Linked DNA regions of Saccharomyces cerevisiae S288C. Changing the gene in region 2 together with the main gene of any one other region gives a genetic interaction. Each region holds a gene or a part of one and is shown on either strand. Other genes may lie near its edges.

Region 1 (8,302 bases), on a different chromosome or scaffold from region 2:
AAAGATTTTAGTTACAAAACGATATCAAAGTTCAATCTTGTTGGGAAAAAGGAAAACATTATGAAGGGTTTCCGGTAATCACTGCGTATGCCACACTATTCCTATAGAATTGTCTTGATTGGGTGCTTATGCTGCGGAAAAATTATATTCTGCGCTTGCCTTTTATATTAAGCGTCACAACGCCCTTACCAAGATCGAGCGGATTAAGACAAGAGTGTATCTCAAGCGTCCGTATATGTTTAAGTTGAAAAGGATATTTAGTAAGAATAATTCTACCCTACAAACGATATTAGTAAAAAAAAAAATCAATAATAGAGTTATTGTACAAACATGTTCTGAAAATTGGAAGCATCACATCGTATGCTACTAGAGAAAATTTTTACTATCCTTTTTTCCACAAGCCCAGCCCTAGCCCGATCATCCTATTAATTGTCAGACCACCGAATGCTATCCCGCCACGGTTGATATAACGAAACTCTTTACTGCTTTGGGTCAAATATGCCTCTTTTCCGCATTTTTTCGGAGTAGTTCATTGCCGCATACATACCGCAACTTGGACGAGGATGTCCTCCTTCTCTTACTTTTTTATTCGTTTCCAATTTGTTTCTCGTACCGTTCAAGTTTCAAGCCTACAAGAAATGTACACGACATGGATGCGTCAGCCTGATTCAGATATGACAAGATTGTTCCTGCGCATATGTGAATATGAGCGCACGCAATACATTGAGATCTTATTTGGGTTTGTAAGTGCAAACTTAATTTACTTTGCTTCCTGCCGGTTTTGATGTGCACCTGGGAACTTAAATAGCCGCCAAAAGAAAAGCAATCAGAGCGGCGCGGCGCAGACAAAACCCGAAGAGTTTCCTGGGAACGGTAGAGGCCTTGGTAGTACCTTACTAACGCCGGAGAGGATGATTGATACGCATTGAAATCGTACAGAAAACTTGGGGCAAAGCGCTCTTACCCCAATATTCTCACCCAAACAGTGGCAATAAATAAAGAAAAGGTCATCACTTTTTTTCGTACTCTTATCCGTTTTATTTTATTTTATTCTTTTTTTTTGAGTGGAGAATCATTAAGAATAAAGGGTACCTTTTGTAAGCACGATGAACGAAGTTACTTGTTCCATAACTGGTGACAACCCAATTCATAAGATCAACAATGGATTAGGCTTGAAATGGAATAATCTGGGTAAATTCTCTGATTTTCAGACTAACGATAGCGCCGCGCGAGATGCTAGAACAATAGATTACATCTTTACCAATTGTCAAACCGGCAGCAGTATTGGTAAGATAGATTTTCGGGCCGCACTACCGGCAGATAAATCTCAACATAGTGGTGTCAGCGAAAAAGAATTTTCAAGACTTGAGAACCAGTGGTCAAAGGAATTCTCTTGTTTCCCCAAGAATAAAAATGCTGATGTGACCAAGCCCAGTAGAAACAAACATGAGAAACGCTCCGCTAATTTGCACAATAGGTACTTTGCACAATATTATAGTACGGCATATCAGCAAAATCGTATATATCCTTGTCGAATATCTTACAATGAACACTCATCTGTTTCTAATGGCTGGGAATTTCAGTTCAAATCAATCGAAAATCAGTTACTAAATGAGCTAAAGATAGAAAACAATGTAGAAGAAAAAACTGTTGGTTATGAATATGTGGCAGAATACGAAGAAACAATTGATTTCATGCATATGCTGTCATCCGTACCACAAACATATCAATTCCTAAAATCAAACATCTACATAACGGAACGGGACCCATATAAAATAGGATGTGTACTAATGGACAACGGTTCCAATTTGAACGAAGTAGTAATGGCCTTTGAAGCAGCCATTTCACAAGATCCAAGCCATATAAATGCATGGTTGAAGTTAGGTATAGTTAATTTTGAAAATGAAAGCGAAAGCAATGGAGAGCTTGCTTTGCGAAATTGCTTAAATTTGGATCCAAATAATACAATTGCATTGGAAAACTTAGCAATTCACCATATAAATCAACAAAATGAATCAGAGTCATTGAAACTTTTTCACAAATGGATTCTTTCAAAATTTTCGAAGGTTTTCCAACCTTCTGCGGGGGAAAACAAAGATAGCATTAATAAAATTCCGAAAAAGGCCCATTTGGCGCATATTCTAGAATCCCTGTTGAATATGGGTATAGAAAAAAAAGATCAGTATGATATATATTCAGTATTATCAATCTTATATTATTCGGATCAGAAAATAAAGCAATCTCAGAAATGCTTAGAGTTTTTACTACTGGAAAAGCCCAATAATGGAACAATATGGAATAGATATGGTGCTATTTTGGCCAATACTAAGTCGTATCACTCTGCGATAAATGCGTACAATAAATGCAAACAACTAAGACCGAATTTTACAAGGGTTCGTTATAATTTAGCGATCGCCTACATGAATAAGGGTGACTATGTAAAAGCAAGCAAAATGCTAATCGAAGTTATACTGTTACGAAGTAAAGGATATGAACACAACAAAGCAAAAATGCAAAACAAATTTATGCAAAATTTAAAAAATGCTCTCATCGCTTCAAAAAATTTTGATTCACTTGATCTAATAAATGGTTCTCATAATACAGAATCGTTAATATCAACCTTAAAAGCTATTTATAACAAAATGGATTAGGTTTTAGTTAATTTTTTTGCTATATAGTGCATTCAAAATAAAAAAAATTAAAGCTGAAACAAACCAAATATGCTATTGGACGTTCGAAAAGCTAATTGCGTAAAGGAACACTAAACACAGCAAGCTTATGCTAGTTCTTCTCAAAAATATAAGTTCCTCTTGCAAGAATATGAAGGTAATTTCACTTTATCGCGCAAGTGCATATTTCTGAGTTTACTATGTGCTTCGTCTGAAACCTCTCATTATCTACTTAATATCGGCTATTCATCTCACGTATTCACGTAATATTTGATTTTTGTACTACTATTTCTCTCTGTCATACGTGCATGATACATTTCCTTGTTCAAATTAAAAGAGTCACCGTCAGCCTCTCAAAACAAAGAAAAAAGATACCCGGCTGAACATGAGTATCAATCATGAAATATATTATATACTTGTATTTGAGCATCGTTCAGTAGCAATCAAGCTCATCATCGTAGTGATTGTTCTCCTTCAGTTTTTTTTAGCACGAAGTCGGCAAATTGATAGGACATGGGCCCATACTAATAGAAAGGAACGGTTCAGAGAAATGACAGCTATCGGGAATACTGATGATGCACTTGATACTAGTACAGCCGCAAGTAAAGAAAATGGAAAAGGTAGACTCAGGGTTCAAAAAGCTTGTGAACTTTGCAAGAAGAGAAAGGTTAAATGCGACGGTAACAATCCTTGTCTGAACTGCTCTAAACATCAAAAAGAATGCCGTTATGATTTCAAAGCTACAAACCGTAAAAGAAGAAGACGACAGGTCGCATCAGCTGTTCGGGACGTTAGTAAGACATATGCAGAAACCAGTGAGTCTTTTCCTAGGGACTTGTTAAGTAAATCAAATATTATCATAAATGCCCCCTCAGATGGTGTATCTTCGTCTGCTAGCAACTCTCCCAATCCAAATTCACATTATCATCATATATCATCCACTTTACCCTTCATGAGCGGTAGGCCAAACCATACATTCCATTCCGGAAGCAACTTAAATGGAGAAAATAACAATAACAGTTTTCCGGAGGATCACATGGCTAAATTACTTCTGCAATTGAGTTCAAAATTGGGGAATACGACCAAGGAATCGTCAATTAGAACAACTAGAACCAATGCTAGTGATGTGAATGCAAACCCGACAGTGGTCAACATGAAAAATAGTCAGGAAGACTGTGACACGAATCACAGGTCTGCAATATGTGACTCTGCAGAGGCTCTTCATAATAACAACATCAATTCTAAAGAGAATAAGATAATCAACTCTCAAATAACTAACACTGTTAATGATCACTTTGAATCACCCTGGCAGACATTTTCTTTAGATAAGTATAGGTTTCACCGACGCTACCAAAATATTCTGCCCTATTACCTTGGTGTATCTATTTTAAAGGATCTATCTCCGCAGACAATAGAGTACGCGAAGTTGAAAAGGCCAAGAGTTCAAAACTATGGTTGGAACTTGTCAGGAGGCCATTACTTAAAGTATAAGGGTGACTTTAGAAGCCAAGAAAAAAATATAAGGCATGAGTCTAAATTTTTCGACTTTGATGACCCTGTTCACTTATCCTTAATCAATAAGTTACTAAGGTATTATTTTGATGAGATCAATCCTGTTTTCAGTATCATTCACGAAGCGACATTTTGGCAGCAATATAACAATAAATTTCTACGGCAAGGTAAACAAAATAATTCATCTGCGAATCTATTCACTTCCATGCTTTATCTAATTTTGTCTACTACACTAAGATTCAGAGAAGGGCATCTAGATGGTCAGAAAGGGCAAGGAACCTACAGTAACACATCCTTAAATATCACATTCGAGGAAAAATCTATTTTGATCAAAAAACCCTCCATAGAGGAAAATTTATTCAAATACGCTTATTTAATAATCAACACGCTGACCTTTGAGTGGGAATCATTCGAACTAATACAATCGTGGCTTTTGATAACCTTCTATTTCAGAACCTGTTACAGACAGACGGCGTGCTGGAACGCGTTAAGTCAAGCGGTGAACATGTGTAATGGGATGAGTCTATATTTAAACAAATTTCCTGAGATCCATTCCACTTATGATGAATCAAAAGCATGGCATTGTTTCTGGTGTTGTTTTATAATGGATAAGTTGATAAGTTTTCAAATGGGTCGATTCTACCAACTATCATTACCCGCGAGCGAGATGTGCGAACAGATGAATCTAGTGAAGTCAAAGAAATTTTTACAAGAAGAAGATGATTGGTTTCACGAAGAGACTTTTCAAATGCTTGATTTGTCCATAATAGTGACACAGTTTTTAAAAAGAGACGCACAGGATTTAAATTTGAACGAGACCGTGCAATTGCGCAGCCAACTTGGTCAATGGTATGACACCTTTATAGTTGGAAGTCAAACCAATGCGTACGACGACAATTATCGTTACTTCTATCAAGTTCAACCATTCATGACATACCTGGATATAAGGCTGACTTTCGAAGTAAGACAATTATTTTGTCTAATCGCCCCCTCATCTACCGCAAATAATAAATCCCTAGAATATGTCGTCGATACTGAATTGTTAATTTCTCATTGTCAAATGGCTATTGAAAATTTGGCTGAAATTACGAGAAGTAATCTTTTCTTTGTTCCGTGGTGGTTAAACCTTTCTCAACTATTCACGGTAAATTTAATATGTATTATCTACCTGCACGCAGGGATTGCCGTAACTCAAAATAAAGCTATCATGCAAAGCTGCCAAGAAATATGGCGAACCTTAGAGTGCTCTAAGCCAAAAAATCGGCCTTCAATGCTTCCTGAGTGCTTGTGGTGTTTGAAAATGCTGAATCATATGTTCTGCATACGACTGAGAGATTCTGCTTTGCAATTGGAAGCTACTCTCGGAACTGATCATGGTGATGACACCCCTAATAGAAATAAGTTTGAGCAGTTCAAGAAAGTTGGCGATAATGATGCGGATGTTGAAGTTGATGCTGGTGAAAGAGAAGAAAATGCTGATGAAAGACAAGAAAATCCACATAACAATAGCAAAAGAGTACCATTAGCTACTAGGTCTCATAATACCACTAACTTCGACGGTTCAATCGCAATTTCTCCGGAAAGTGCAGTAGCAAATCTAGGTACTGATACTGGATTGCCCTCAGATGTTCTTGATACTGTCAGTAAAATAGGGAACTCTCCTAATGTGTTTGATGATGATTTATTTTCCAATTTATTATGGTTTGACCAAAATTTTGCATAAGGATTCTTTTTCTATTCCATAAAACCATTTTATGGACACGTTTACCTACATATTATTATATTGTATATAAGATGTTGAAAAAATTGAGTCAACCTCACCTTACCACATGTTGGTCCGTTGCTATGACAAACTCTCGTTTTACAAGAAGGAGGCTCAAATTTCGGGTCACCCACCCATATACGGATGTCACGCTATGAGATCTTTTAAACAATAGACAATTTTTGGTATCCTAAAGATATAAAAGAGGAGTTTTTTTAAACCATGGTAACTATTTTCAAATTTGCTCTGCTGCAGTTTTTTATTTCTGTTTTTCTTTTTTTGTTCCCAACAAGAAGTGAGTTAATAAAGGCAAAAACAGTGGTCGTGTGAGAATGAATACAGTTTCACCAGCCAAAAAAAAGGTTATTATAATTGGTGCCGGTATTGCTGGGCTTAAAGCTGCATCTACGCTACACCAAAACGGTATTCAAGATTGTCTTGTTCTTGAGGCCAGAGATCGGGTCGGTGGTAGGTTGCAAACTGTCACAGGCTATCAAGGTCGGAAATATGATATAGGTGCTAGCTGGCACCATGATACGTTGACAAACCCTTTATTTTTGGAAGAGGCTCAACTGAGTTTGAATGATGGGAGAACGAGGTTTGTTTTTGATGACGATAATTTTATTTATATCGACGAAGAACGTGGAAGGGTAGACCATGACAAGGAACTGCTTCTTGAAATTGTGGACAATGAAATGAGCAAATTCGCAGAGTTAGAATTCCATCAACACTTAGGAGTTTCAGATTGCTCCTTTTTTCAATTAGTAATGAAATACTTACTACAAAGACGCCAATTTCTCACAAATGACCAAATAAGATATTTGCCACAACTCTGTCGATATCTGGAATTGTGGCACGGCTTAGATTGGAAGCTTTTGAGTGCCAAGGATACATACTTCGGTCACCAAGGAAGGAACGCCTTTGCTTTGAACTATGATTCTGTGGTTCAAAGAATTGCTCAAAGCTTTCCTCAAAATTGGTTAAAGCTAAGTTGTGAAGTGAAATCAATTACACGAGAACCTTCAAAAAATGTGACAGTGAACTGTGAAGATGGTACTGTGTACAATGCTGATTATGTTATTATTACAGTACCTCAAAGTGTATTGAATTTGTCTGTACAACCTGAAAAAAATTTACGGGGAAGAATAGAATTTCAACCACCCTTGAAACCAGTGATTCAAGATGCTTTTGACAAGATCCATTTTGGAGCGCTAGGTAAAGTAATTTTTGAGTTTGAAGAATGTTGTTGGTCGAACGAAAGTTCAAAAATTGTAACTTTGGCTAACTCTACCAATGAATTTGTCGAAATAGTACGTAATGCGGAAAATTTAGATGAATTAGACTCTATGCTAGAAAGGGAAGATTCTCAAAAGCATACGAGTGTTACTTGTTGGAGCCAGCCTTTATTTTTCGTAAATTTGTCAAAAAGCACAGGAGTAGCAAGCTTTATGATGTTGATGCAGGCACCGCTTACAAATCACATAGAATCCATTAGAGAAGATAAAGAGCGTCTTTTTAGTTTTTTCCAACCTGTGCTGAACAAGATTATGAAGTGTCTAGATTCTGAGGATGTCATCGACGGAATGAGGCCGATAGAAAACATTGCAAACGCTAATAAACCAGTCTTAAGAAACATCATCGTTAGCAACTGGACACGCGATCCTTACTCACGCGGTGCTTATTCGGCCTGTTTTCCAGGAGATGATCCAGTTGATATGGTTGTTGCAATGTCTAATGGTCAAGACTCCCGCATAAGATTTGCAGGCGAACATACTATCATGGACGGCGCCGGCTGTGCCTATGGTGCTTGGGAAAGCGGAAGACGGGAGGCGACTCGAATCTCTGACTTACTGAAATAGAATCTATTTTTTCGAAATTACTTACACTTTTGACGGCTAGAAAAGGATATACATACATATTAAAATTTTTAGTAACACTCTGTGCTTTTTCAAAAATTTGAGGTACACCTAATTCTCCCACTTGTTGCTTATACCAAGTTTGAACAATTTTAATGTTAAGCACAATAGATTGGAATATTATCATATGGTGGTTCAGAGAGTAGTAGGGTGCATTTTCATTCCTGTTGCCTCAATGTGTTTTCTATCTGTATTTACGTGATTTTATGAAGTGGTGGCATCGCTTAGATGTGGTGCATAATTAGAGACTAATTTTTGAAACCACGCATGAATGTCAAGTAATTCTAACTGAGCATCTGTCATCAATGGCACTTGCAACTTCAAAAAATCCCACCAATATTTTGACGGCACCAATTTACCTTTGAATTTTATTTGAGTTTTCCTTGTTAATCTTGCATTCAGAATTCCATAGAAAAAGAATTTTTCAAATGGAATTATATTTG
Region 2 (3,253 bases):
CAAGAAAAGAGCCCTTGTCGAGGCCTTTTACCGTACCAATCTACCTAATATGTTCCAAGTGTTGATGACCGTGGCCATCTTCCTCTTTGTTTTATATTTACAAGGCTTCCGTTACGAATTGCCCATCAGGTCAACCAAAGTGAGAGGTCAAATTGGTATCTACCCCATCAAACTCTTTTATACTTCCAACACCCCAATCATGTTGCAGAGTGCATTGACTTCTAACATTTTCTTGATCTCTCAAATCCTTTTCCAGAAATACCCAACCAATCCATTGATTCGTTTGATCGGTGTTTGGGGTATCAGGCCGGGCACCCAGGGCCCTCAAATGGCCTTGAGCGGGTTGGCCTACTACATCCAACCATTAATGTCTTTATCCGAAGCTCTTCTGGACCCTATCAAGACCATCGTCTACATCACATTTGTTCTTGGTTCATGCGCAGTATTTTCCAAGACATGGATCGAAATCTCCGGCACTTCCCCACGTGACATTGCCAAACAATTCAAAGATCAAGGCATGGTCATTAACGGTAAGAGAGAAACCTCCATTTACAGAGAATTGAAGAAGATCATTCCAACTGCTGCTGCTTTCGGCGGTGCTACCATCGGTGCTCTTTCTGTTGGCTCCGACCTACTAGGTACTTTAGGTTCTGGGGCATCCATTTTGATGGCTACTACCACCATCTACGGCTACTACGAAGCTGCCGCCAAGGAAGGTGGGTTTACTAAGAACCTCGTTCCAGGATTTTCTGATTTGATGTGAATATAAAATGAAAATAATATCCAAAGAAAAAAAAAATCGCATTTAGCCACACCCCTCCCTCTATTTTTTTATTTTGTTACCATAGTTTTATCAACGCCTTCTTACACCTGTATAGAGCTAAATAACTATATATATGTATGCGCAAATAATTCCTAGAAAATCGTCGATTTTTATAAATTCTAACCGCCGATTAACAATATCATACGCGATCTAAATTTATAATAGGCGTGAAGCAAAGGAAGTTGATAAAAAAAAAGTAAAGAACTCCTCATAGGGGGCTCGAACCCCTGACATTTCGGTATCCTTGCTTAAGCAAATGCGCTTAAAAGCCGAACGCTCTACCAACTGAGCTAACAAGGATGAGTTCTTCGAATTTTCCAGTCTAAGATAGACAACCCATCAAACTGCATGGTCCCGGGCTAACTTCTGCTCTCTTTTCCGGACGGATGGAATCGCCGCTTTTGAATTCACCTCCGGGGTATTATTATTATTCTTAGTAGTCGCGGTCGTGCGGACACCCGGAGTTATGCGGGCCCGAAAGCTCATTATGTAGTAAAGCTAGGTAATGTTAAGGGCGTAAGAGCCAACGCAAGGCAGCAATAGCCTGGTATTCCCACATATCAAGAAAGCTTAAAAAGTTGAGACAGGGAATTTGAAGGCGAAGATTGCCGAACTGGCCAATACCCACTACTTTTTTTTTGGTTTGCTTGGTTTCTTCCTGTCGCTTGCCAACTTGTGGCATCTTCCCCACACTATATTATAAGGATCGTCCTATGTATAGGCAATATTATCCATTTCACTCGCTAACAAATGTACGTATATATATGGAGCAACAAGTAGTGCAATTACAGACGTGTATTTTGTCTTGATCTTGCTTTTTGTATGATAGGCCTAAGAATAACAGTGCGAACATATAAGAAACATCCCTCATACTACCACACATATGCCAACTCTAGTAAATGGACCAAGAAGAGACTCTACCGAAGGGTTTGATACCGATATCATCACTCTTCCTAGATTCATAATCGAGCACCAGAAGCAATTTAAGAACGCTACTGGTGATTTCACATTAGTACTGAATGCCTTGCAATTCGCGTTCAAATTTGTATCTCACACCATCAGACGTGCTGAATTGGTTAACTTGGTTGGGTTAGCAGGCGCTTCCAACTTCACTGGTGACCAGCAAAAGAAGTTGGACGTTCTAGGTGATGAAATATTTATCAATGCCATGAGGGCTAGTGGGATCATCAAGGTCCTTGTATCTGAAGAACAGGAAGACTTGATCGTTTTTCCCACAAACACGGGCTCATACGCAGTGTGTTGTGATCCTATTGATGGCTCCTCAAATTTGGACGCCGGTGTCTCCGTTGGAACTATCGCGTCTATATTCAGACTGCTACCAGACTCATCAGGTACTATAAACGACGTACTGAGATGTGGTAAAGAAATGGTAGCCGCTTGCTATGCCATGTACGGATCCTCTACGCATCTAGTATTGACATTGGGTGATGGAGTTGATGGGTTTACCTTAGACACAAACTTGGGCGAATTCATCTTGACTCATCCTAACTTAAGAATTCCGCCTCAAAAGGCCATCTACTCAATTAATGAAGGTAACACCCTCTACTGGAACGAGACTATAAGAACATTTATTGAGAAAGTCAAACAACCCCAAGCAGACAACAACAACAAGCCTTTCTCGGCTAGGTATGTTGGATCCATGGTTGCTGATGTTCACAGGACGTTTCTTTACGGTGGCCTTTTCGCATACCCTTGCGACAAGAAGAGCCCCAACGGAAAACTGAGGTTGCTTTATGAGGCCTTCCCAATGGCTTTCTTAATGGAACAAGCAGGGGGAAAAGCGGTCAACGATCGCGGAGAGAGAATCTTGGATTTGGTGCCAAGTCATATCCATGACAAATCTTCTATTTGGTTGGGTTCTTCAGGTGAAATTGACAAATTTTTAGACCATATTGGCAAGTCACAGTAGTTCAATGATCGCCTTCTTTTCTTATTTTCTTTGTTCTGTACTTTAGTACGCGAAAAAAAAAAATCTGTATATGTCCTTATATATATATATATTTATATATATATATGTGTATGTATGTGTACCGTAAGCATTACTCCTTCTAATAATGAAAATTCTTAGGAAAAGAGAAAGGAAGTAGCGAATGGAATGGGATGGAAGTTTTAAAGAACATTAGAATTTATCCTTTGTCAAACTTCATCACATCAACCAAGAACTATATAAACCTACCAAATGAATTAAGAAACCTAATTAGTGAAGAGCAGGAGAGTAAACTAGGGTTCTTGCACATCATTGAAAGTGATTTTAAACCTTCGGTAGCGCTGCAAAAGTTGGTGAATTGTACTACGGGGGACGAAAAGATCCTAATCATAGATATAGTATCAATATGGTCCCAACAAAAGCAAAGACAGCATGGCGCGATCTACATGAATTCGCTATCTTGCATAAACATCACGGGATTA
Region 3 (8,124 bases), on a different chromosome or scaffold from region 2:
CATGTAATTCCTTTTTCCCTTTTATGCAATCTATAATGTTAATCAGCGTAGATCACTATATACGCTTTTTTTTTTTTTTTTCAGCTCCGATTAGAGAGCAAAAGAGATGTAACATCGATCCTGCTATAATTAGAATACAAGTGTTGATCTTTAATTGTACTGTTTCTGCGAAAGCTATCGAGCATTTGGCTGTATTCCACTGTCCATTGTATTTTTAACTCTCCTTTTTATCATTCTGAAACATAGAGCTGTTTTGACAAAATTCAGTTTTTTCTCAATTAGTGCTTTCATTCATACGTTCGTTACAAGCTTTGAATTTTAACTTTATTTTCGGGCTTCCACCTTTGCTTCATTATTTTACTTCAGCTCTTTAGCTTTCTGTGACATTCAATTTTATTGTATGACAGCACGTCGTTTGATTAATATAGTTCCTAATACGTCTAAGCTAGACCCTTTAAAGGAGGAGGACTCAACGCATCTGAAACAAAATCAACCTAAGAAGTTTTCCACAAAGGAGTTGATGCTTTCAGAATATACCGAACGCAAAAGTTGCAGCCTTCCGTTGTCTAAATCCCGATCAGGCAGTAGTGCATCCAGTAGCACTACAGGTTCGAACGGAAAGAATATTGGAACAAGACGCCCTAGCTCCAACCTAGATTTCAATTTCGCTAGCCAAGATGTTGTTAAAAATGTATTAGGTAATAATAATCCACACGTACCCACAGCGAAGTGCATTAGGCCAATATCAGATGATTCTATAGGTACATCGAGCACAGAGATATTTTCTTCATCGCACTCAAATACGACATCTGATTCTTTATGTACATCAGATATAAGCTCAGAAGAGGGTGAAATAGCAAACAGTAAGATGGAGGATAACTGCTTCTTCAAAAGTATGAGAGAAGCTGACCATAGAAGCAATATTACGCCCTTAAAGAAAAGCCGACCGGGATCAATACTACAGAAAACACGTACAGCAAGTAGCGCTGATAAAACAATCTGCTCAATGAGTACCATAACTACATGCATTCCATCTCGTCAAAATTCGGTGTCAACTCCTAAACTCTCCAGGACAGTAGGGCTGCCTGGATCGAGCAATACAACCAACAGTATAGCCGCATCACAAACTTCATTCATAAGCGAGAATGACTCTCCTCTTAAACATCATTGCATGAGTACCGCAACTATCCAAGAACCAAAACTCATGCCGATCACAAAAACGCCGTATGTGCATTCCAATAGTACTTCTGTAATATTACCATATAAAACAACCCAACTTACTCCTTCTCAACGTTACCGTTTAAGGAAAGAGCAAAATGACCAATCTTTGCGTAAAGCCATAAAAATGAAAGAAAAATTTTATGAAGATCAAGACGTTAACTTGGAACTTCAAGAGGGCGATGTCGACGGCTCGTTAATTTGGAACATTCCAATGGCATCTTTATCGACCAGTTCTTTTTTAACATTATCTAAGTTTAATAGAAAAGAAATGAGTTTAGATTCAGCGCGGGGGGATGAAGAGATATTAATACAGGAGAACAATTGCGAAGGCAAACAACACTCATCTTCGGCTCTCTGTGTGGACAAAACTTTCCATCAGGTTCATAGTACTAGAAAACATACATCAAATTCAAGTAACACTTTAAAAGAATCATGTCTGGACTATAAGGAGCTTCCGCCAACATGCATTCCTGGTATATCTCCTGTGTCTGATTCACAGTACATCCAGGATACAATGAAAAATCTCTCCCAAATATACCTGCATAGTTCCGAAAAAATCTCCAAAAGTATTCTTTCTGGTCGTTCAAGATCTGTACAGAGTTTACCACTGGAATTTAAAGAAGCCAGTAGTCAGGGAATGGAAGACCTAATGCTAGTTTCAGAGGACAAACTAAAGGCCGTAAGTCATTTCCGTCCGAGTTGGCTCCCGCCCAAGGATTTCAAAGAGAGGAAATTGCAAGATAAACAAATCTACAAAAATATCGACTTAGCATCAATGGAAGAGTTGCAAAAAAATAAAGAACGTGACGAAAAAGCCAAAAAGAATGAGCAGAATAAGGTCAAATTCCAGCATTTACTGGACCGAGGCATTACTCGTAACTCGTCATTAAGTGAATTAAAGAAAATTATTTGGGAAACACCTTTGATATCTAAAGTACGGCTTCAAATATATAGTCAACTTCTACAAAGTGACAATTGCTTGATAACAAAATGTTTTATTGAATCATTTGAGGAAGTAATGCAGCTACTCAACAAAATGGATTTTCCCAAAGATAAAGAATTTGAAATAAGACAGCTTATTGAACACGATGTACAGGAAAAGGTTTTTTATAAAAATGGAACAGATAAGCAAGTGGTTTCTGACTTGATGCTATTACTGCAACTGAAATCTATATCTCAACAAGGTTTGGTTACTGGTGATGAGATGCTATTCTACCATTTTTTAACTGATCAATCTTTTGGGACTTTGAAGGAAACATGGGAAATGGTCAACTTGATACAGATGACGTGCTTCAGTGAAATTTGCAAGGAAAAATACGATTCAAGAATATTAAATCCCAGAGGAATTGTTGCCCATCTTTTACGAAAAGATGAGTTCAAAAATGAATTCAATGGCGGATGTTTGAATAGCAATACATGGTGGAACATATTGCAAAGAATGGACCATAAACTTTTTATGTGGGTAATGGATGTAATTATCGTTCATAATGGCCAAAACTTTGCAAACTACCCCGTAAAAATGGAAATATTCAAAGACAAAGTATGGGAATACTATAGATCTAAGAAGGTTATTGTAAATTATAAGATTTTGGTTTCACTAACAGTTAACGTATTGTTAAACTACCACTTCGGATATGATAATCTGAAACATTTATCAGATTTGGATGATAAGCATTTTTGTATTCCACTGTATACGGAGGATAGTATCGAAGAGGAAAACCTCAATAATATTTTCACAAAGTGGTGGTTGCACTACTACCGAAAATTACGTTAGCGTGTATGTGGCACGTACTAAAAGTTTGGTGACCAGACTATCTCTTCTTAAGTTCATTTTCACTCTGAAACTTATAAATGCATACATACAGAAATTACTTTCGATTAATATAATAATATATTTTTAATAAACAATGAACTAATGCCCTTATTGTGTTTTGTTATTAACCTTTTCATCACCATTTTTTTTTGCTAGCTTCTACGGCATTCACTTACGTGCTGCAAAATTTCGCAGCATGGAAGAAATTGTTCGCGAAGAAAAAAGATTTCGCTCAGTGATTTGTAGTGACAATAGGTACCAGTGTTATCACTAAGTATATCTTTTAGTATATCTCTTCGCTTGAGGAGGGATCAAAAAAAAACAAACGTAAACGTGCACATAAACGTCAAGTACTTTTTGCAGGCATTAATATTCGTCTCCAACAAAGACAAATAAAGAAGCAATCTTTTCATTACCTTAAGCCAGTATCTATTGATATCAATCGATAAGGTTCGTTGTTATCGGTGCTAAAAATTATAAAGTGAAAATAAGAATCTTTTCATGTCGTGCTCAAACGGCATCTGGCCTACTGTATCTAATTTGTGCGGATCATTATCCTTCTTCACCTCTGTTATTTCATTGTTTCCACAAATAATTGAGACTTATCGAGATAAATCTGTCGATGGGCTATCGCCATATTTTTTGCTGGCTTGGTTATGTGGGGATATTACCTCGCTGATAGGGGCAAAGCTAACAGGGCAATTGTTATTTCAGATACTTTTAGCAATTTATTTTCTATTGAATGATTCTTTTGTATGTGGTCAATATTATTACTATGGCGTGCTGCATGAAAATAAATTGGCGACTGTCGGCCATGAGCCTAAACCTCTTCTTCCCGAACTGGTTGAAAATGGTGAGCTTTTGAGGGAGGAAGAGGACATGATACAAGGTGGTAGCAGTGCAGAAAGCCCTAGAAGCAGTAGAAGAAGGTCTGCCATTACAGCAGCCTTGGCTATAGCTCATACTATAAGTACAGCTAGCGCATATCCGCTAAATGTAGGCTCCACCCAATCACAAGTGGGGCCTCCCGGAGATGGTAAAAACAGCCAGCTGGGTACAATTTTATCTTGGATTGGCGCTTCCTTCTACGTAGGCGCACGTATCCCACAACTAATCAAGAATTACAATAGAAAGTCTACAGACGGCTTATCTCCCTTCCTATTTGCTACTACACTACTCTGCAATATCACGTATAATTTGAGCATCTTCACAAGCTGTAGATTTTTAGATAATCAGAACAAGAGGGAATTCATCGTGAATGAGTTGCCCTTTATATTTGGAAGTGCTGGAACAATTGCGTTTGATTTGATATACTTCTACCAATACTATATCCTTTATGCAACTGATATGCAACTACGTGAACTGGAAAGAGAACTATACAGTCCTGAAGAAGACAGTGCAGCGCAACTAGTGACAGAACGTACATCACTGTTGTCTGGTGAAACGCAAACATAGTTTTCCCTACGGAGTACTACCATTTATATTTAAACAATGCACTCTGCTCTTGGGATAGTCCTTGCGAGACCCTTTTTTCCCAATAGGAATACTACGTTCGTACTCTGTGTAAAAGTACCCAACTATAGTTAGCGCCAGTTTTACGTAAAACCGTCTATGTCTTGTTTGCATTCGCAACAGCTACAAACACATATAGTTTGTCACACTAATATTAATAATGAAAGTTATTATGTATTCACTGTGAACGCTTCAGTATACAGTACGGCAGTAAGTGTTTCATTCTGTTCTGGATTAATAATCTTTCACTTTGCCTAGCCATTTGGGGGCGGGTTTTGGCTGGGTTAGCTTCTCCTTAGTCATGGAGAAAAAAAATCGCCCGCAAGTATCTCGAAAAAGGAAAAAATGCCCACGCGTATAAGAGTGGACCCAACTGCTCGAGGTTTCAAGAGCTTGTAGATTAATTTCTGTAGTTCAGTTATACTTGCCTACAAGTGCTATACAGCAAATAGCGAACAGTACGAAAGTAAACATCATATTATCAATAATGGTTCACAACAAAGTTACTATCATTGGTTCAGGTCCAGCTGCACACACCGCCGCCATCTATTTGGCCAGGGCAGAAATCAAGCCAATCCTATATGAAGGTATGATGGCGAACGGTATTGCTGCCGGTGGCCAGCTAACCACCACTACAGAAATCGAAAACTTCCCAGGTTTCCCAGATGGTCTAACAGGTAGCGAACTGATGGACAGAATGAGAGAACAATCCACGAAGTTTGGCACTGAAATTATCACGGAAACAGTTTCCAAAGTTGATCTGTCTTCCAAACCATTCAAGCTATGGACCGAATTTAACGAAGACGCAGAACCTGTGACGACTGACGCTATAATCTTGGCCACAGGCGCTTCTGCTAAGAGAATGCATTTGCCGGGCGAGGAAACCTACTGGCAAAAAGGTATTTCTGCCTGTGCCGTGTGTGATGGTGCCGTCCCCATTTTCAGAAACAAGCCATTGGCCGTCATTGGTGGTGGTGACTCTGCATGTGAAGAAGCTCAGTTCTTGACCAAGTACGGCTCAAAAGTGTTTATGCTTGTCAGAAAAGACCATTTGCGTGCTTCTACCATTATGCAAAAGCGTGCTGAGAAGAACGAAAAAATTGAAATCCTTTACAACACTGTTGCGCTAGAAGCTAAGGGGGATGGTAAATTATTGAATGCCTTGAGGATTAAGAACACTAAAAAGAATGAAGAAACCGATTTGCCAGTCAGCGGTTTATTTTATGCAATTGGCCACACTCCAGCAACAAAGATTGTCGCTGGCCAAGTCGACACTGATGAAGCGGGCTACATTAAAACTGTCCCAGGCAGCTCATTAACCTCCGTTCCAGGATTTTTCGCTGCTGGTGATGTTCAGGATTCTAAATACAGACAAGCTATTACTTCTGCTGGCTCTGGTTGTATGGCCGCTTTGGATGCTGAGAAATACTTAACTTCCCTAGAATAGATGAATTTTCCATTATAAAATAGATACACTCAAATTTTTGTATACTTATCCAACAAATCGTTACTTTCTCCTTTTCTTTAATAAAAAGCAAACCATGAATTTTATTTCTTTTCCCCATTATTAGAGAAAGCCAATACATAATCTACATATATTGCGTGTCTGAATTAAACTTTTTAGACACATGACATAGGCCATCGGCTTACTTTGTAACGCGTGGTTGCCTATACACCGACTATTAAGTTATGACTAATATTATTGCTGCGCTTCCCCACCTGCATTTTTCTTGTCGTCTTTGCCAAAAGGAAAAAAAAACCTACGCAGATTGACTCTCTAAAAAATGATTCATGACCAGACAATTCAGTAAACATAAACTCTGTTGCATTCATTCTTCTGGAAAACTTTATAATAAAGCATCTGATATTACAGCTACTGACAACTAAGTGAATTTAAACTGCAATAATCACAAGAAAACTTAGTATTCCCTTATCATGTCCGAGGCGACTTTGCTATCTTACACCAAGAAATTATTGGCTTCTCCGCCGCAATTGAGTAGCACAGACCTACACGATGCGTTGCTGGTTATATTAAGTCTTTTGCAAAAATGTGATACAAATAGCGATGAGAGTCTTTCCATCTATACCAAAGTTTCGAGTTTTCTCACGGCCTTGAGAGTTACTAAACTTGATCACAAGGCTGAATACATTGCGGAAGCTGCAAAGGCTGTGCTCAGACATTCCGACCTTGTTGATCTACCTTTACCCAAGAAGGACGAATTACACCCGGAAGATGGACCAGTAATCTTAGATATTGTAGGTACTGGTGGTGACGGACAGAATACTTTTAATGTTTCCACGTCTGCTGCTATCGTTGCCTCCGGAATTCAGGGCCTAAAAATTTGTAAGCACGGTGGTAAAGCTTCTACATCCAATAGTGGAGCTGGTGACCTAATTGGAACTTTAGGCTGTGACATGTTCAAGGTTAATTCATCGACAGTGCCCAAACTTTGGCCTGATAATACGTTCATGTTTCTACTTGCTCCTTTTTTTCATCATGGAATGGGCCACGTTTCTAAGATACGCAAATTTCTTGGAATTCCGACTGTTTTCAACGTACTGGGACCACTTCTACATCCAGTTAGCCACGTAAACAAGAGAATATTGGGCGTTTACTCAAAGGAACTTGCGCCTGAATATGCCAAGGCAGCCGCTTTGGTATATCCAGGAAGCGAAACTTTTATAGTTTGGGGACATGTTGGGTTAGACGAAGTATCACCTATAGGCAAAACTACTGTCTGGCATATTGATCCGACATCGTCCGAACTTAAATTGAAGACCTTCCAATTAGAACCTTCTATGTTTGGTTTAGAAGAACACGAGTTGTCGAAGTGTGCTTCATACGGCCCTAAAGAGAATGCGAGAATTCTAAAAGAAGAAGTCTTGTCCGGCAAGTACCACCTTGGCGACAATAATCCTATTTATGACTACATCTTGATGAACACCGCCGTGTTATATTGTTTAAGCCAAGGTCACCAGAACTGGAAGGAAGGGATCATTAAGGCAGAAGAAAGCATACATTCTGGTAATGCATTACGTTCTTTAGAACACTTTATAGATAGTGTGAGCTCCTTGTAGACATTATTTCATATGTTATACTTAAACTAGATAGAGACGTTTTATTTGTACTAAGCTGAACATTACCCTAATTACGCGTTATAAGTTTTAATCCTTCATTTTGAAGGAAAACAAATAAACAAAAAGTTGATGTGGAACAAATACAATGTGCGCGGATATCTTAAGCAACTTCGTTAGTTACAGTCCACACAAAGCGAAAAAGGGCTGATAAACACTCATGGACGAAGCGTCACATCTCCCAAATGGGAGCTTGAAGAACATGGAATTTACGCCTGTAGGATTTATCAAATCCAAGCGAAACACCACGCAAACACAAGTTGTATCGCCTACTAAGGTTCCAAATGCCAATAATGGTGATGAGAACGAAGGCCCTGTTAAGAAAAGGCAGAGAAGAAGCATTGATGATACAATTGACTCCACAAGGCTATTTAGTGAAGCTTCACAATTCGATGACAGCTTTCCAGAAATTAAGGCTAACATTCCGCCTAGTCCAAGGTCAG
Region 4 (7,892 bases), on a different chromosome or scaffold from region 2:
TGATGCCATTAGAAATCAAATCGATTTCAAGACACCAAGAAAGGAGTACAGGTTGAAGGATGACATTTCAAGACTGCCCACTTTAATTGTCAGACCTCGTGGCTGGCACATGGTGGAGAAGCACCTTTACATAGATGATGAACCGATTAGTGCTTCCATCTTCGATTTTGGTTTATATTTTTACCATAACGCTAAAGAGTTAGTTAAAATTGGTAAAGGACCTTATTTTTACTTACCAAAGATGGAGCACCATATGGAGGTAAAACTATGGAATGACATATTCTGTGTTGCACAAGATTTTATTGGAATGCCCCGCGGTACCATTAGGGCCACTGTTCTGATTGAAACTTTGCCAGCGGCCTTCCAAATGGAGGAGATTATCTATCAAATAAGAGAACATTCAAGCGGTTTGAACTGTGGTCGTTGGGACTACATATTTTCGACCATTAAAAAACTGAGAAACTTGCCTGAACACGTTTTGCCAAATAGGGATCTAGTGACTATGACTTCACCTTTTATGGATGCTTATGTGAAAAGATTGATCAATACATGTCACCGTAGAGGGGTCCATGCGATGGGTGGTATGGCTGCCCAAATCCCCATAAAAGATGATCCAAAGGCTAATGAAGCTGCAATGAACAAAGTTCGTAATGACAAAATTAGAGAAATGAAGAATGGGCATGATGGGTCATGGGTAGCACACCCAGCATTGGCACCGATTTGTAATGAAGTTTTCAGTAACATGGGTACAGCAAATCAAATATATTTTGTCCCGGATGTACATGTTACATCATCTGATTTATTGAATACGAAGATTCAAGATGCTCAAGTCACTACTGAGGGAATCAGAGTAAACTTGGATATTGGCCTACAATATATGGAGGCTTGGTTAAGGGGATCTGGTTGTGTCCCAATTAATCATTTGATGGAAGATGCCGCTACTGCGGAAGTATCACGTTGTCAATTGTACCAGTGGGTTAAACATGGTGTTGTCTTAAGTGATACCGGTGACAAAGTAACTCCAGAATTGACCGCTAAGATATTAAATGAAGAGACTGCAAAATTGGCTTCAGCAAGTCCGCTGGGTGAAAAGAACAAGTTTGCCTTGGCAGCCAAGTATTTTTTGCCTGAAGTCACTGGTAAAATCTTTAGCGACTTCTTGACCACTTTATTGTATGATGAAATTATTAAGCCAAGTGCCAAACCAGTTGACTTAAGTAAATTATAGAATGTATACGTACATAACCTGACGAATATTCGAAGAATTTTAGGCGCTGTTTTAACGCATAATCCAATCAAATTTGAGCTGATAAGGCCTGATAAGGTATGACAAATTGAACTCATATTTTTTCTCCATGCCAGATCATATTTAAGCCTTTGAAGCGAGAATATGTAAGGAAACTGAATTACTAATTCTTACCTCAGGAAAATCAAAAGAACAAAGAAAAACTAGCTAAGCAAATTATCGAACGATGGAAACAAGAATACTTGTTGTGAATCCTAATAGTTCGAAGTCAATGACGGTGTCCTTGCGGGAAACCATTGAAAAGACTTTTTCAATGGAATCATGTAAAATCAGTTATTTCACAGGGCCAGACACGTCGCCACCACAAATTGATGGGCAGGAAACAAGTATTAAAAGTATGGAGGCCTGTCTTCCCCTCTTAATTGATGACCAGGAGTCGGTATATTACTTTCAGAAATTCAACGGGATATTAATTGCCTGTTTTTCAGATCATCCTTTGGTAGCAAAGATAAAGGATAGAGCTGCTAAAGAAAAAGCAGATGTTTCTATTGTTGGGTTATTAGATAGTAGTATTAATTATTGCAATTTGGTTGGAAAGAAGTTCTCTATTATTACTTCAAATAAAGAATGGATTCCAATATTGAATAACTCTGTGGAATCGAAATTCTTGACAGGGAATACAGTTAACAAAAATTTATGGAAAGGTACGGTATCTACTGATTTACAGGTCCTCGACCTACATAGTCCAGAAAATTTCCAGCAGATAGCAGAAATTATATATCGCGAAAATATTAAAAAGCTTGATTCAGACATTGTAATATTAGGTTGTGCAGGATTCTCGGGTTTGCAAAATAAACTGGCGAAAACATTCCAAAGGGATGGCACGCTGTTTCTGGACACGATTGAGATCGGTTTACAGATTCTAATCACTATGATAAGATTTGTCAACTCACAAAAATAAATAGAAATATGATTGTTTTTTATAGAGTGTAAATTTTAATGTTTTGTCGTGAAGAAGAAGAAGTAAATAAAGTAGCGTGGGGATAGCGAAATGAAAACATTCAATTATCAAAACAAAAACTTTTAACTACATTTATACCTTTACTTTTAAAGTGCCAAGAGTGCATTGGTTTAAAATATACAGTAGTTAAGTATTTATCAGTACCCCCAAACTCTTATTCTTTTCACTCCTCCATCTGGAATAATCGTTAATTTGACATGGGAGACTCTTATACTCTTACGTATTTCATACACATGTTCTTTGTCAGGCCCCGTCTTTGACTTACCAACTAGCTCTACCCATGTTCCTTCACCAGTGTTCTCACTTGATTCTGACTCCTTCAAGCAACCTTCCACGGTAATGAACTGAGGGAAGTTCCCCCTGAAGTGTGCCGTATCAACAATAATCTTCTCAATGAAAGAAGACTCCCTGCCCAGTTGAATTACCGCCCAATCAGTATGACCTGGTTGTCTCGATCTTTTGGTTTCCCAGCCGTCCGACATATCATGACCTCGACCTGGCAGTAGCAAATTATCAACTGAACCGAAGTGTTGGTCAGAATACTTTAAAGCGACAGCACCATTGCAAACATAAGCCAAGTCAATTATATGATCCTTCGTTTTGAGTTCTGGAGGAACAACTCTTCCGTATAATCTAAATCTGGCGATTCCTCCATCGGGGTACATCTTCAGCTTGATGTGAGTAAACCTTTCTTTAGTAAGGCCGTTGCCTCTAACGAAAAGATGCCTTTGCGAAGGACCACACTCAAATTTCTCAACAATCTCAACCCAACGCGAGTCATCTTCCACTATATTACCTTCTTCGCCCTCGTCATAGAGCGCCTCTATTGATACAAATGGTGCATGATTACCATTGAAAAACGCAGTGTCAATTTCACCACCAATAATATGGGCAGCAGCGACTCCCATCTTGATGATAACCCAATCGTATTCCATCTCATTATGTCTTCGTGTTTCCCAGCCGTCGTACCATGCGCCTGAATGAACAAATCTGGTAGGATCCCTTATAGGAGCAGTTGGCTGAATTAAATTTTCAGCAGAAGCAAACCATTCATCTGAAAAAGAAACCACTTGACCACCTAACTTAGATCCTATAACATCTACTGCTTTGTTTTTTGAAATGATTATTGACTTAAATTCTGCCTCATCTGCCAAACTAAAAAACTTCATTTTTCTAAAGAAGAGACCGATTAGATACAATTAATTGTTTGATCGGCTTCATAATTTCCCCATATCATAGCAAAATGCACTTCCATTCCTTTATAGCATTTGATCTCAGAAAATGTGTCTATAATTTAGACTTTTCTTCCAGCTGAATTTCATTGTGGTTCCTGTGTTTTTATCTTATCGCTAATTCGAGTCAAAGATAAGATGTCGGAATTATCCGGAGTTCTGATAGGCTCAAACAAGCGCAAGTTTGGTAGGTTGATGACGGTTTAGCTAATCATCAGTACATTATTCAGACGGGAATGCATGTATGAAGCTGATAAATTTGATTAAGAAAGGTACATAAAAATACACAGAACGAATATTAAGGTGTTTTGAAGAAATTATCAATTCTCCTGATCACTACTGGTAAGAGAATAAATTGGGATTTTTATTTAGTAAACTATCTTTTCCTCGGTGCCATCATAGATACTGACTGTGTCATCGCAGAGGTCATCCCTACGTAACTCATTCTTCCAATCTTGCTCGAAGTCCTCAACATAAGCCCATCTTTGGAACCATCCTTTCTCTGTCAGAAAATTGGTTACGGGAGTACCAGGGACAGGAAAAAAGTAACATAATATGAGGTATATCACCGCACTAATAAAGAAACCTACCGGATAACCTAAATAGTATAACCTCATTGCACCCTCTGAAACCGTAATTTTTGGAGCTCCAACATCACCTATAAAACCTGGTAAATTTGGAGCGATACCGCAAATATACGCAACAAAGGCCCTCCAATTGGCACCAAATTTGTTTCCAAACATGTAAAAGGAACCCTTCTGTGCCAGGAATAAATGTGTTAATTTCACATATCCTCTTCTTACTACGAAATAATCCGCGCAAATGACACCAGCAATACTGGAAAGGAAAATTGCATAAGCACCCAAAGCGCTGGTGAACTTACTTGAACTGGCCATTAAGTTCCATGGACAGATACATAGAGCCATTGCCACACAGAATAAAGAACCTCTTCTAATATTAATATATCTTGGAAACAAAGCCGTCATATCAGCACCACATGCCAGAGAGTTGGCAGAAATGTTTGTACCCAGTTGAGCTAAGGCAAATACAAAAGAAATCAAGAACACACCAGCCCTAGTACCTCTGGTGTAAGTGGTCTCCAAAAATTGACCAAGTACATCCAGTGGTGACCAATAGTTAACCCCATATAAGTGATAACCGGCCGCAGTAACAATGATACCGATCAAACATGTTATGGCGAAGAACAATGGGATGGCAACCAATTGTGGCCACAAAGACGCTTGAGGATTTTTGGCAAATCTACCGAAGTCAGGGGCGTTGATAATCAAAGCGGCAAAGTTAGCAACACAGGCCATTAGGGATCTAACGAATATCCATGAAAATTCGGAACCATGAGGTGAATAATCATTCAGCGTCCCCAACTCAATTTTACCGTGCGATTTCTTCAAAGCCCAGATTAAAAATCCAAAGGCTGCGAAGGGGATCAAAGCTGCTTTTACTGTGAATAAATGCCTGATTTTATGAGGAGCCACTAGGACAAATGGTATACTGACCACCCAAAATATAAAGAAACACATGAATTCAAAAGTAGTGCTATTTGGAGAACCAAAATGGTTTGGGATTCTATCTTCCAGATTCTTGCCAAAAATAGATTTTAGCATCAGTGCCACGGGCGTTGCACCTAACCAGGCTTGCACGGCATACCATACTATAGCCATCACGACACGATTTATAATCGGCCACATAGAAAAGAATATACCAAATGAGGCCCTAACAGTAATAGGGAAAGATAAGTGATATGCGGAACCAAATCTCGAGTTCAATACTACGAAGATACCTGCAAAAGTGTAGCCGATCCAAACTGTAAGCCAACATTGCCACCAATTCAGACCTAGTTGTAGACCTGTACCAGCTATTTGCCATGTGTTAATATTGAAACAGTCTGCCAGCCAGAAATATAAGTAATTGAACCAGGACCAACACCTTCTTTCTTCTTCAACCGGTTTCAAGTCTCTGTTATACAAGAACGACTCTTTCAACGAAACATTCAAAGTTGTCTTGTCTAACACAATGAAATCGTAGTATATTTTACTCCAGATGGACTTTGTTTCGGGCAAGGGCACGACTTCGCTCTCCTCTATTGAGGAGTTGTCCACATACACATTAGTGTTGATATTCTTGTTCTTGTTGAACTTCCCATTTTCCACATCTATAATATCATCTTCATTGTTTGTATATGACACAATAGATGTGGAGGGTTGGACACCTTTCCTCGAAGGATTACTGAAAATAGCACTTAGAGCGTCGTTAGCCATTCTCGTCTTTGTTGATGTTTTATATCACAAGATGTAGATGAATATAAAAGGTCAAAAAGGGAAACTAAAGTAACATATATATTCAAACTACTCATCAAGCTAATTATTTATACTTTTTTTTTCTTCCCCATGTTTTCCTAGCCTTCTATGCTCAACACTAGCAGATCAAGTTTCTCGATTACAAACTTGTTTCTCTGATACTCTACCTCTCTATGCTAATCATTGGACACAATTTTTAAAGGAACCTTATCGACGTGACAGCAAAGCGGTCAATCCATCCTATTATTCCTTCTCATCTCCCTGAAAAGGAAAACATCCTGGATCTTCAATTACACATACACATTCCTTATCGCAACTAGATTAGAGGCGCTATTTTGTATGCGACAGCGAGTAAGGATGGCCGGAAAAAAAGCGGGCGCATTTTCCCTGGCAGAAATTTTTCATTGATAAGAAAGTAATACCGATAAGAGATACCCTCGAGCCACATTAGACCCGAGAATTGCAGGAAAGAAAGGAACTGCATGTTTCGATTCTATTGTCCCTTACTGCGGATCATCGAATAGGCGCAAATGTGTTGATGGTGGACTGATGGAACTTTATCAGGAGAAGTGGTTCAAAATTGCGGTGCTTAATTATCTATATAGAGGAGGCATATCTCATCGAAGGGGACAATGATGAGGTAACGCAAAAGTGATGAGTTTCTACTGGTATCTTGTAATTGAAGGTACCCCTTTTTCTTTTAGCTATCTTTAATTAGGTTAGAAAAGTGTATATTTCGCAAAAACGTATAGGCAAAAAAAAAGTGAAATACTGCGAAGAACAAAGATGCCTATCAATGCCATCACTTCCGACCATGTCATTATCAATGGTGCAAATAAACCTGCGACTATTGTGTATTCGACCGAATCAGGCACGATTCTGGATGTTTTAGAAGGCTCCGTGGTTATGGAGAAAACTGAGATAACCAAATATGAAATACATACGCTGGAGAACGTATCTCCATGTACAATTCTGCCTGGACTTGTGGACTCTCATGTTCACTTGAACGAGCCCGGTAGGACTAGCTGGGAAGGATTCGAAACTGGAACTCAAGCTGCTATTAGTGGCGGGGTCACAACGGTGGTTGATATGCCGCTAAATGCTATTCCTCCCACAACAAATGTGGAGAATTTCCGAATTAAATTGGAAGCTGCTGAGGGCCAAATGTGGTGCGATGTTGGGTTTTGGGGTGGACTGGTACCACACAACTTGCCAGACTTAATTCCGCTTGTCAAAGCTGGCGTTCGCGGGTTCAAAGGATTCTTGCTTGATTCTGGTGTGGAAGAATTCCCTCCAATTGGCAAAGAATATATAGAAGAAGCCTTGAAGGTCTTAGCCGAGGAGGATACCATGATGATGTTTCATGCTGAGTTGCCCAAGGCACATGAGGACCAACAGCAACCCGAGCAAAGCCATCGTGAATATTCTTCGTTTTTGTCCTCGAGGCCGGATTCTTTCGAAATAGACGCCATCAATTTGATTCTCGAATGCTTGAGAGCCAGAAATGGACCAGTTCCTCCTGTACATATAGTTCATCTGGCATCAATGAAAGCAATTCCCTTGATCAGAAAGGCACGTGCGTCAGGGCTACCAGTCACAACAGAGACTTGTTTCCACTATTTGTGTATTGCTGCAGAGCAGATCCCAGACGGAGCCACCTACTTTAAATGTTGTCCACCCATCCGCTCTGAGTCTAATCGCCAAGGCCTATGGGACGCTTTGCGTGAAGGTGTTATAGGCTCAGTAGTGAGCGACCATTCGCCATGCACCCCTGAGTTGAAGAACTTGCAAAAAGGTGACTTTTTCGATTCTTGGGGAGGAATCGCTTCCGTCGGACTAGGTTTGCCATTGATGTTTACCCAAGGCTGCTCTTTGGTCGATATCGTTACATGGTGCTGTAAAAATACATCCCATCAGGTAGGACTATCTCACCAAAAAGGCACTATAGCTCCCGGGTACGATGCTGATTTGGTGGTATTTGATACTGCAAGTAAACATAAAATAAGTAATTCAAGTGTCTACTTCAAAAACAAATTGACTGCCTACAACGGGATGACGGTCAAGGGCACAGTTTTGAA

What was found.
Region 1: mutations in FBP1 (region 2) and FMS1 together harm fitness less than expected from each alone (positive genetic interaction), as found in Saccharomyces cerevisiae (one large-scale study listed by BioGRID).
Region 3: mutations in FBP1 (region 2) and TRP4 together harm fitness more than expected from each alone (negative genetic interaction), as found in Saccharomyces cerevisiae (one large-scale study listed by BioGRID).
Region 4: mutations in FBP1 (region 2) and DAL2 together harm fitness more than expected from each alone (negative genetic interaction), as found in Saccharomyces cerevisiae (one large-scale study listed by BioGRID).

Annotation. Positions count from the first base shown.
Region 1 is NC_001145.3:309,102-317,403, forward strand, and holds FMS1 (polyamine oxidase), read left to right. Parts: upstream 1-6,275; coding exon 6,276-7,802; downstream 7,803-8,302. Other genes in the region: PEX9 (Pex9p), read left to right, coding at 1,107-2,651; STB4 (Stb4p), read left to right, coding at 3,055-5,904; MAC1 (Mac1p), read right to left, coding at 8,064-8,302. UniProt on the Saccharomyces cerevisiae protein: Involved in the production of beta-alanine, a precursor of pantothenic acid. Multicopy suppressor of fenpropimorph resistance.
Region 2 is NC_001144.5:873,246-876,498, reverse strand, and holds FBP1 (fructose 1,6-bisphosphate 1-phosphatase), read left to right. Parts: upstream 1-1,706; coding exon 1,707-2,753; downstream 2,754-3,253. Other genes in the region: translocon subunit SEC61, read left to right, coding at 1-763; PSY3 (Psy3p), read left to right, coding at 2,945-3,253.
Region 3 is NC_001136.10:1,178,266-1,186,389, forward strand, and holds TRP4 (anthranilate phosphoribosyltransferase), read left to right. Parts: upstream 1-6,481; coding exon 6,482-7,624; downstream 7,625-8,124. Other genes in the region: SBE2 (Sbe2p), read left to right, coding at 401-2,995; YPQ2 (Ypq2p), read left to right, coding at 3,536-4,489; thioredoxin-disulfide reductase TRR1, read left to right, coding at 5,034-5,993; SPC110 (Spc110p), read left to right, coding at 7,842-8,124. UniProt on the Saccharomyces cerevisiae protein: Catalyzes the transfer of the phosphoribosyl group of 5-phosphorylribose-1-pyrophosphate (PRPP) to anthranilate to yield N-(5'-phosphoribosyl)-anthranilate (PRA), the second step in tryptophan biosynthesis.
Region 4 is NC_001141.2:406,351-414,242, reverse strand, and holds DAL2 (allantoicase), read right to left. Parts: upstream 3,437-7,892; coding exon 2,405-3,436; downstream 1-2,404. Other genes in the region: malate synthase DAL7, read left to right, coding at 1-1,228; DCG1 (Dcg1p), read left to right, coding at 1,473-2,207; DAL4 (allantoin permease), read right to left, coding at 3,868-5,775; DAL1 (allantoinase), read left to right, coding at 6,601-7,892. UniProt on the Saccharomyces cerevisiae protein: Utilization of purines as secondary nitrogen sources, when primary sources are limiting.